Callithrix jacchus: one gene and its partners. The protein of the gene in region 2 purifies or fractionates together with the protein of the main gene of each other region. This does not show direct contact. Links are inferred from orthologs where the notes say so. Each region holds a gene or a part of one and is shown on either strand. Other genes may lie near its edges.

Evidence for each region. The genes of interacting proteins can lie anywhere in the genome.
Region 1: the proteins of TNFRSF10B (region 2) and CASP8 purify together in Homo sapiens (affinity purification with western blotting; 14 studies listed by BioGRID and IntAct, counting the BioPlex papers as one, with this or other methods). This does not show direct contact. The link is inferred for Callithrix jacchus from reciprocal best matches to the Homo sapiens genes TNFRSF10B and CASP8.
Region 3: the proteins of TNFRSF10B (region 2) and RIPK1 purify together in Homo sapiens (affinity purification with western blotting, with the first as the bait; 3 studies listed by BioGRID). This does not show direct contact. The link is inferred for Callithrix jacchus from reciprocal best matches to the Homo sapiens genes TNFRSF10B and RIPK1.

The regions. Positions count from the first base shown.
Region 1 is NC_133507.1:122,368,230-122,371,747, reverse strand, and holds part of CASP8 (caspase-8), read right to left. Parts: intron 2,295-3,518; coding exon 2,230-2,294; intron 304-2,229; coding exon 162-303; intron 1-161. UniProt on the Homo sapiens protein: Thiol protease that plays a key role in programmed cell death by acting as a molecular switch for apoptosis, necroptosis and pyroptosis, and is required to prevent tissue damage during embryonic development and adulthood.
Region 2 is NC_133514.1:18,450,016-18,454,034, reverse strand, and holds the start of TNFRSF10B (tumor necrosis factor receptor superfamily member 10B), read right to left. Parts: upstream 2,783-4,019; coding exon 2,720-2,782; intron 1-2,719. UniProt on the Homo sapiens protein: Receptor for the cytotoxic ligand TNFSF10/TRAIL. The adapter molecule FADD recruits caspase-8 to the activated receptor.
Region 3 is NC_133505.1:27,534,494-27,537,531, forward strand, and holds part of RIPK1 (receptor-interacting serine/threonine-protein kinase 1), read right to left. Parts: intron 2,215-3,038; coding exon 2,062-2,214; intron 11-2,061; coding exon 1-10. UniProt on the Homo sapiens protein: Serine-threonine kinase which is a key regulator of TNF-mediated apoptosis, necroptosis and inflammatory pathways.

The sequences.
Region 1 (3,518 bases), on a different chromosome or scaffold from region 2:
TAACAAATATATAAAAATGTTCTTCACCTCCACAGGGAAATATGTTTAAATCCATTTTCTTGAAACATGCCCTTTTGGTATAGCTATTGTTCTCTCCCTTTTGATTTAAAAAAAAATAGTCATAAAAAAATGTTCACTTTTCTCTTTGGGTTCTACCATACCTGCATCCAGGTGTGTTCCATTCCTATCCTTAATGCTGTGGAGTTTGGGCACTTCCTCCCGTGCTTTGCGAAAGTCATGATTGTTGATGATCAGACAATATCCCCGAGGTTTACTTTTCATTTGGTAAACTTTGTCTGAAGTCTGGAAAACAAAAACCCATTCAAGAGCTGACTCTGTGGGTCAAACACTGCAGATGAAAACAAACAACTCCCTAATAAGAGGTTAGCTTACTAACAAGCCAGCGTACTTACTAGCTTACTAGTAAACCAGATGAAGAAGCAAGTTTGCTTTCCATTGCTCCACTGCAACCTGGGGTCGTTTCCTTGAAGAACTAGTTCCTACCTATTTCCTTCACACAGTAGTACCCCTCAGACTTCTGCCCCATAGTTGTAAAGTCAGTGTCCCAACACCTGGGCCTCCTGAGCACTTTGCACACATATTAATATTGTTGTCATCATATTGTATTATTGTGTGTTCTCATTTCTGCTTCCCATACTATACAGAAGACTCCTTGAAGTCAATAACTTCTGTGCCAGGCACCATGGAGTATTAACTTGTGAGAGCTCAATCAGGAGTTACTGAAGGAATGTGTCTTTGGGCTGCCCCCACACCATGACCTTGTGATTCTCTTGCCTGTCTACTGAACTCATCTGTGCTTCCTGGCTAACAGCTGAGGGTCTCCCATTCATGCATTGCACAGTGTGTTCCCAGGATTTTAAAGCTGATGGCTTAACCAAGCTCTCAGGACCATGGTGGCTGCTGGGGAGAGATGGGCTGCTCCGGCAGGTCCAGGCTACACTGTAGGTTATAATATCCAAACTGTAGTACCTGATAGTATCTGCCAGGGATGGCCCTGCGTCCTACTCATTCTCCTAGGGCTGTTTCAGTGCTGAAATACTCAGCGTTTAGTTGGAGGTCTGCATAGCCCTCTGAGGTAGAGAAAAGGGCTCCAGGCTAGGAAGCCCAGTTCCTGGTTCTACTTCACTTTATGACTTTGGGCAAGTAACCTGATATCTTAGTATGTTAACTCTAAGATATTAAATATTTGATTAAGTTTGCACCAAGTATGTTAAGTATTTATTATTTGCTATTAAGTGTGCTAAGTATTTATTAAGCATATTAAGTATATTTACTGAGATATTAAGACACTAAGATTTGGCCAGGCACGGTGGCTGGCACCTATAATCCCAGACTTTGGGAGGCCAAGGCAGGAGGATTGCTTGAGGCCAGGAGTTCAAGACCTGGCTTAGCAATGTAGCAAGACCCCTCTCTCAATAAAACATTTAAAAAGAAAAAAGATACTAAGATATTAAGACAGTGTTTTAAGCTGTTCACTGGGGACAATGCTTGTAATGTGCGATACTGCTTAGAAAGTACTACATTGCTTGGATTAATCCTTGACTTTCAGATGAAAGAGGTCTGGTAATTTTCTCAGGAGCCCACACTAGTGAATAATCTCTCTCAAGCCTAATTCAGATATTCAGGATTTCCTCTTCTTTCTGCCATGAGGAGGAGTAAATGGGCTAATAAGTCAGGATGTGTTTGGTAGATTGTTGGTTACATAAAGAGAAGTTATTATGCCTGAAAAGGACGTTTCTGCTGGTTCACTGAGATGAAAACATAGAGTTGGCTAGATTATGAGAGTTTGCTGCTTACACCTAATCACAAAGGAGAAGCATTTTTGAAATGTTAACTAAAGGAAAAGGCTTTGCTTTTTCCAGTCCTGCTAGACTGTTTCTACAAACCCCTCCCTCATCCAGGCTGGCATGGCTGCTAGATTTGGTAGGAAGGAGCCTTCCCACCCCCTCAAACCTCCAACTATGCCAGTATCTTCATCTTGGATCTTAAAATAAAATTCAAATGCATAGAAAACTGAAGGAGTCACATTATAAAAATTATATCATATTTTTAACTTTTTTTGTGAATTTTTCTACAGTTCTCAAAATTTTCAATAAGCTTCTGCCCCTTATTGGTTTATCTGGCAGCTTAAAAAAAAAAAAAGCTAACAAATTCGATAACTAGAATCTGTAATATAAAAAGAAAAAGGATTTGGAGGTTTCCATCTACCTGTGATTCACTATCCTGTTCTCCTGGAGAGTCCGAGATTGCCATTACCCCAAACAATTCCTCCCCTGCAAACAACAAAGAGAAACATCTAGAATGAGACATTGAAATGAAATATGTAGCACCTAGGACAACATAAGGTCTTTTTTTTTTTGAGGTGGGGTCTTTTTTTTTTTTGAAACAGAATGTTGCTCTGTCGCCAGGCTGGAGTGCAGTGGCAAAATCTCGGCTCACTGCAACCTCTGCCTTCCAAGTTCAAGCCCTCCTCCTGCCTCAGCCCCCCAAGTAGCTGGGACTACAGGTGCACACCACCATACCGGCTAATTTTTGTATTTTTACTAGAGATGGGGTTTCACCATGTTGGTCAGGATGGTCTCCATCTCTTGACCTCGTGGTCCACCCACCTCAGCCTCCCAAAGTGCTAGGATTACAGGTGTGAGCCACTGTGCCTGGCCAATGTAAGGTCTTTTTTAAGATGAAAAATCAAGCCAGGCCCAGTGGCTCACACCTGTAATCCCAGCACTTTGGGAGGCCAAGGCAGGCAGATCACTTGAGGTCAGGAGTTCGAGACCAGCCTGGCCAAAATGGTGATACCTTGTCTCTACTAAAAATACAAAAGAAAATTAGCTGGGCATGGTGGCAAGCACCTGTAGTCCCAGATACTCAGGAGGTCGAGGCAGGAGAATGACTTGGACTCGGGAGGCAGAGGTTGCAGTGAGCTGAGATCATGCCACTGCACTCCAGCCTGGGCAACAGAGTGAGACTCTGTCTCAAATAAATGAGCTGAAATGAAAATTCACAGACTGTCTTGAATATAATCTTTCAACCCAGAGAGATTCTGCAAGCAGGGCAATTAGCATGCTTCTGGAAACACAAGATTAAGTTGTCCCATCGCCAAAGAGAAAAGCATACCAAGAAATGCAGTAATTTTATATTGCTCCACATAGCCAGGTTGAATTTTTGTGGTATTTGTGAGATATTCATTAATATCTCTAAAGCCACTAGCTCAGGATGAATTAATGATTAGTACTTTACTCCTTAAACTATCCTTAAGGCCTTGGGCTCATCAGGCAAGGGGGAAAGCAAAGGACAGCCTGAGTGGACATTAATTTTTAAAATACATTTGGGTGATTGAAAATGTATTTTAGACACACACACACACCACAAACAGCCAAGGTAAAAATACAATAAAAACATTCATATCAACATTAATGGAGTGATGACATTCTTGGACTTGTAAACATTTCTCTGAATTTAAAATCATCTTCAATCACTCTAATCAGAAAGCATAC
Region 2 (4,019 bases):
TGGGAGGACAAGTTGGGAGGATTCCTGAGCCTGGGAGTTTGAGACCGGGCTAGGCAACATGGTGAAACCTAGTCTCTACTAAAAATACAAAAATTAGCCAGCTGTGGTGGCAAGTGCCTGTGGTCCCAGCTACTTGGGAGGCTGAGGTGGGAGGATCACTTGAGCCCAAGAGATTGAGGCTACAGTGAGCTCTGACTGTGTCACAGCACTCCAGCCTGGGTGACAGAGGCCTGACCTCATGTGACCCTGTCTCAAAAAAGAAAAACACAAAGATGATCAGGAAGCAGATGGAAGATACTAAAAAGGCCAAAAGAGAACCTCTAAAGCTTAAAAAATATATTTCTGATATATGGTAGAAGAGATTAACAGCAGGTTAGCATCTGCAGAAGCAGATTAATGAGCCCTCACTAGGAACTATCCAAAGTGAAACATAAAAAATGATGGGGGAAGAAAAAGAACAGATACTAAGTTAGCTCTGATACAAAAATCTAACATTCTAACATAAATGTAAGAAAAACAGGAAGAGACAGGGTATTTGAAGAAATAATGGCTGAAAATCTTCCAAGTAGAACATAAACTCTAAAACCCCAAATCCAAGAAATTCAACATAGCTCTGTTGTGGCTTTCTTTTCAGAAAAATCTCACAAGTAGAACATAAAGTGTAAAATTAAAAATCCAAGAAATTCAACCCAACCCTGTTGTGGCTTGCTTACTCTCCCTTCCCTTCCCTTCCTTCCTCTCTCCTCCCCTCCCCTTCCCTTCCCTTCCCTTCTTTCCAGTTTCTCTGTTGTCTCCCAGGCTGGAGAGCAATGGTGCCATCTCTGCTTACTGCAATCTCCACCTCCTGTGTTCAAGTGATTCTCCTGCCGCAGCCTCCCAAGTAGCTGGGATTACAGGTCCCCAACACCACGCCAGGCTAATTTTGTATTTTCAGTATAGATGGATTTCAGGCTGGTCTGGAACTCCTAACCTCATGCAATCCACTCACCTCGGCCTCCCAAAGTGCTGGGATTACAGGCGTGAGCTGTTGTGGCTTTCTTAACAAAAAAATCTCCAAGCAGAACATAAACTCTAAAACCCCAAATCCAAGAACTTTAATACAACCCAGCTGTGGCTTTCTTTACAGATAAATCTCACAAGTAGAAAGAACATACAAGTCTAAAGCCAAAAATCGAAGAAATTCAACACAACCTTGGGCAAACAAACTAAGTCACTGCAAATCAGTGCTAAGAAATATCCTGGTTGATATAGAGGTTTTATTAGTTTTCATAAAATGTGTTTAGAGATGTACTCATTTTCTACTCTTTGGAAAAGTTTGTCATATTTGGATTTCCTGTTCCTTGTATATTTGATTAAACTTCCTGTAAAAGTTAAAAAAAAAAAAGAAAATCCTAAAAGCTGCCAGAGACCAAAGATCCACCACCCACAGAGAAGCAAGATGCCGGGCAGCCGAGGCCCTCAGAAACCACAGCAGCAGGTGGAGGCAGAGCCCCTGTACACCCGCTTCACCAGGACGGTTCCCACCCTCCCTCCACTCAGGTGAGAACAAGAACACACAGTGGTGTGAGGTGGAAGCAGTGAACTCAACATGAGGTGTGTAACAATATTCCAATACAACTCCAGTGCTTCACAGTGACATTATTCTGGGTCAACACTAGCATTCCCCTGACCCTACTTTCCCAGTTCCTCCTGTTAGGCCTGGGCCCACACACTTTCCCCCTCTGAGCTGCGTTCTCCTCCGCTGTAAAATGTGATGATTCACTACCGCTCCCAGCCCCAGCTCCTGGCCCAGGCTGTGTTCCAAGTGTTGAGCACACCGTGCTGTTCCCTACAGAGCCCATCTTCCTTCCCTATTAACACAGAGACCTGCCTGGGGGTGGATAGAAAGGCCCTTCCCAGACCAAAATGCAACTGCTATCAAGCAGCAAGTGCCTGATTTAGGAAGACTTCCTCTTTCTAAATCTCGTTTCCCGAGGAACCCCAAAGAGTGGTACTGGCGGGAGGCCGGGTCAATCTGGAAAGAACCGCACGTGTTTTCGTCCTGAATATCTTCAGGCTCCAGTACCCGCTTCACGTGTGAAACGCATCACCCCCAGCTCACGAAGGAAACGGGATCCCGGGTCTGGCTGCCAGATCCGGGTGTGATGAGCGGCCCCGCGCGCTTGGGGGCGTAGCCGCTAAGGAGGGGAAGGGGCCTCTCCAGCTGCGCCCGCGACGGCTCCAGCGCGCGAAACAGAATCGCGGGGCCGCAGCTACCACAGGAGAGTTGCTGGCTGCAGACTTGTCTGTTCAAAGCGAACTGCAATGAGCATCTTTCGGAATTCATTCGAAGGCGCAAAAGAAAAAGAAATTAAGGCAGGAAGGAAGGGAGGGAAAGAAAGGAAGAGAGAGAAAAAGAAAGTAAGGAAAGAGAATCTAAGTCCGACGACCTCTCCGTGGCTTCCCGCGGCTTCCAGGGGAATTCCCACCTGCCGCCCTCCCCCACTGTATTCGGGGATTTACCCCGAGCGAAGCGCGCGCTCTGACCCCTCCTGGCCCGGGTCAGTCCTGCCCAGCCCGGGACCCTGCTCTTCCCCAGACTCCGACGACGACGGGTACGTCTTGCCCGGACATGCCCGGCAGAAGGCGATCCAGGCCAGGCACCCCCGCCGTGCCCCCCCCCCCCGGCCCCCTCCTAGCGCCAGGCGCGCTCTTCCCAGGGCTCGCGGCGGGGACTCACCGACAGCAGCACCGAGACGACGACGACGAGCACAAGGGTCTTGGGGGTGAGAAGCCCAGACATGGCTCCCCACGCTGTCCTGGGTCCCGGGGCCGCGCCCTTTCCGGGACCCCGAGGGGGTCTGGGCGCTCTGTACCAGCTGTCCGACGGCGGTAGGAAACGCTCTTCGTCCCCCAGGCCAGCGGGTTTCAGCCTTTACAGTAGATCCAGTATCGCCCGTGTATTCGTGGTCGCGGAAATGTCCCTGGAGTCTACGGTGTTCGCGGGGCGCGTGCAGACTTGCGTGTGGAGGATGAGTTGTGTGGCGCGGCGCCGCTACACTTTCACCGCCCCGGCAGGCGTCATTCAGAGCGGGGCGAATCAGAGACGGTATTCAAATTCCACCACAGGTTGGTGACAATAAATAAATAAATAACAGCCTCGTCGACGCCACCCTCTGCAAGCACGTCCAAGTGGGGCGGGGAGGGGAAGAAACGGAACGAACCTTTGCCCAGGCGGCGGCACCCAGGGCTGTGGTTTGCTTTTGGGTCCTGCGCGCGACAGGACAGGCACCGAAACTGGGGAGATTGAGCTGGGGGAGGCGCGTGGGGAATTGACTTCTCCCAGGGTCGCGCGCTGGGCTGTGAGCAGAATCTTGAGGTTCAGAGTCTGCTTTCCAGGCGCGTCCTGATCCTCTCCCCTTCCCAGGGCACCTGTCCCTCCCTCCCTCCTTTCTTTCTTCCTTCCTTTTTCCCTCCCTCCCTTCTTCCTTCCTTCCTTTGTCCCTCCCTCCCTTCTTCCTTTCTTCCTCCCTTCCTTCCTCCTTCCCGCCTTCCTTCCTCTTTCTTTTCTCTCTCCTTTCTTTCTCTTTCTCCTTTTTGAGGTTTATTTTTTGAGACTGTCACTCAGGTTGGTGCACAGTGGTATGATCCTGGTTTACTGCAGCCTCTGTCTCCCGGGTTCAAGCAATGCTTCCACCTCAGCCTCCTTAGTAGCTGGGACCACAGGACTGCACCACCACACCTGGCTCATTTTTGTATTTTTAGTAGACATGGTGATTCACCATTTGGCCAGGCTGGTCTCCAACTCCTGACCTCAAGTAATTCACCTGCCTCAGTCTCTCAAAATGTTTGGATTACAGGCGTGAGCCCACCACACCTGGGCAGTCTTGCCTTTTTAAATGCATTTAAATGCACAACTGCTTTTTAAAATTTGGGGGCGAACATAAATCACATTAGCTGTTTTATGGCAGTACAGTAAGATTGAGCTCTTTTTTCTTTCTTTTGAGACGGAGTTTCGCTCTTGCTACCCAGGTTGGAGT
Region 3 (3,038 bases), on a different chromosome or scaffold from region 2:
GTGGTATTATCTGCCAAATGGGAAAGAGAAGAAGGTATCAAGCTAAATAAAACCCATTCAAACATTCCAGCTTCCTGAATTGCTAAAAAAAACCCCAAGTGAGGTGAAGAGTAGCAGGAGACAGTGAAAAAGATAACGTCTTAATTATATAGCTGTTGACACCTTGGTGGACATTTTATATCCCTGCTAGCCCACATGGAGTCTTTGTGTGACTTAGAATAGGGCATTCCTGTCCTGGCGTAGTGGGTCATGTCTATAATCCCAACACTTTGGGAGGCTAAGGAAGGAGGATCACTTGAACCCAGGAGTTCTAGACCAGCTTTGGCAACATAGCAAGACCCTGTCTCTACAAAAAAAAAAAATTAACTGGGCATGGTGGCACATGCCTGTAGTCTCAGTTAGGAGGCTGAGACAGGAGGATCACTTGAGCCCAGGTGTTCAAGGCTGCAGTGAGCCATGACTGTGTCACTGTACTCCAGCCTGGGCCACAGAGCAGGATGCTGTCTCAAAAGCAAAACAAAAGAATAAGGCATTCCTTCCTCCTAGCAGACACATCTCTGAGCCACAGCTGATGGCTCTGTGAACAAAACCCCTATGTGGCTACAAGGCTGGGTGTTCTATTCAATCTTAGCCGGTGACCCTGTTTGTGTTAGACTTTCCTGGATGTAAAGGAAAAACCCACCATTTTTGTTCCTTTTGGACATTTTTCACTTACATCTGGCCAGAGTTAAAGCCACTTACCTCCTGACCATCACCCCTGCCCAACAGTTCACTTTCCTCTTAATCAAGGAAACTGTCCAGCAGGTGTGAACCCATTCAGTTACAATGCCTTCCTTGTCTTTCACACGATGAAAGGTCTGTTTTTGAACCCTTCTCCCTGCCCCCCACCCCCCGACTGCCATTGCCTCTTCTCCGATAGCCATAACCTCTCTCCTACTAGTTCTTCTCTTAGCCCTTCATAAAAATAATAAAAGGAAACAAATAAAAATGTAAAACAACCACAACAAACATATTCCCTAATCCCCACTCTACCTCAATAAACAGAATGTAAGGGAGAAAACATCTCATTCTTCCTTTCAACCTCCTTTCTTTCCTCAGCCCTCCATAATGTGGCCTGTGTTGCCACCGCTAGATTGTCAGCAGTCCAAAAACTTCCCAAAATATTTGGCAAATTTTGTCAGTATTTCTTTATGGGACAGATCCTAGGTTTCATTACAATCTCAAGGGTGTCCTTGGCTAATCAAAAGTTAAGAACCTCTGTTCTAGGTATTTTAAAAGCTGTTCTTCAAATGTGTTAGACCAGGGGTTGGCCAACTATAGCCTGTGGGCCAAATCTGGCTCCTTGCCACCATTTGTAAATAAAGTTTTATTGGGACACAGCAATGTTCATTCATGTACGTATTGTCTATGGTTGCTTTTGTACTACGGTAACAGAGTTGAGTAGTTCCAAGAGAGACCTCAAAGCCAGCAATGCCTAACATTTACTATCGGTTCCTTTACAGGAACAAAAAGACAATCCTGTTGTTAATTAGAAAGCTGAGTTCTTAATCAAGTTGTTTTGGCCTCATGACTGCTTTTTCCAGACTGTACCTCGAGATTAGCATTATGGTCCTGCACAGTAGGACCCTGTAAGAGACAGCCCTCTTGATTTTATTGCAGAAGTGCTGTGGAGGGCACAGTCTTCTCTCTTTTACAGGATCTCCTTTGATGAGGGCCTGACACAGCTATTTCTTCCAGGTCTGAGCAGTAATACTGATGATAATGATGAAAGTTTAACACTTTTTATAGACCCTACTATGTGTCAGGGAGCGTTCTAAGCTTTCATACATATCAACTCATTTAATTTTCACAACAAAGCCATGAATTAAATACTGTTATTATCTCCATATTAAAAATAAATAAATCACAAAGAAATTACACAGAAATCACAAAGTTATTTTGCAGAAGTAACATGAGAAAACTTTCAGGAAGAATTATCAGAGAAATTTCAAGATTCCACTACATCCTTCTCACAAGAAAGTTCAAGGTTGATAGACATTGGGTCCTTCAAGGGTATCTTACCAAAGATATCTTGGTACTTAGAAGCTGGCTCTTCTTTAAAGTTCATATTTATGCTGTCTGATAGTGATGAACTCATCCCACCAACCTCCATATAATTGTAGGCTCCAATCTGAACACCGCTACTGTTGTGTATGGTACATTTTATAGATTCCTCTGAATAGAGAGAAACACACAGGTAAGTACTTCTAGATCAAAAGCAAGAGAAAAAATATAGCACTGCAAAAAAGCCTGGCTTTACTCCAAACATTGGGTTAACTATCCTATGCCATCCTTTAAACTTTCTTCTTTAAAATGTGACTAAACCACCTCGTACCCATTAGGATGTCTACAATTCAAAAAAAAAAAAAAAAAAGGGCCGGGCACGGTGGCTCAAGCCTGTAATCCCAGCACTTTGGGAGGCCAAGGTGGGTGGATCACGAGGTCAAGAGATCGAGACCATCCTGGTCAGCATGGTGGCGCGTGCCTGTAATCCCAGCTACTCAGGAGGCTGAGGCAGGAGAACTGCCTGAACCCGGGAGGCGGAGGTTGCGGTGAGCCGAGATTGCGCCATTGCACTCCAGCCTGGGTAACAAGAGTGAAATTCCGTCTCAAAAAAAAAAAAAAAAAAAAAAAAGAATTAACACACATAGACAAAGACGTGGAAGAATGGAGCCCTCACACACTGCTGGTGGGGATGTAAAATGGTGCAGGCCCTGCTATAAAGAGTATCATTGGCCAGGTGCGGTAGCTCACGCCTGTAATCCCAGAACTTTGGGAGGCCAAGGCAGGTGGATCACTTGAGGTCAGGAGTTTGAGACCAGCCTGGCCAACATGGTGAAACGCTGTCTCTAAAAAAAATTCGTCGGGCATGGTGGCGGGAGCCTGTAATCCCAGCTACTTGGGAGGCTGAGTCAGGAGAATCACTTGAACCCAGGAGGCGGAGGTTGCAATGAGCTGAGATCGTGCCACTGCACTCCAGCCTGGGAGACAGAGCAAGA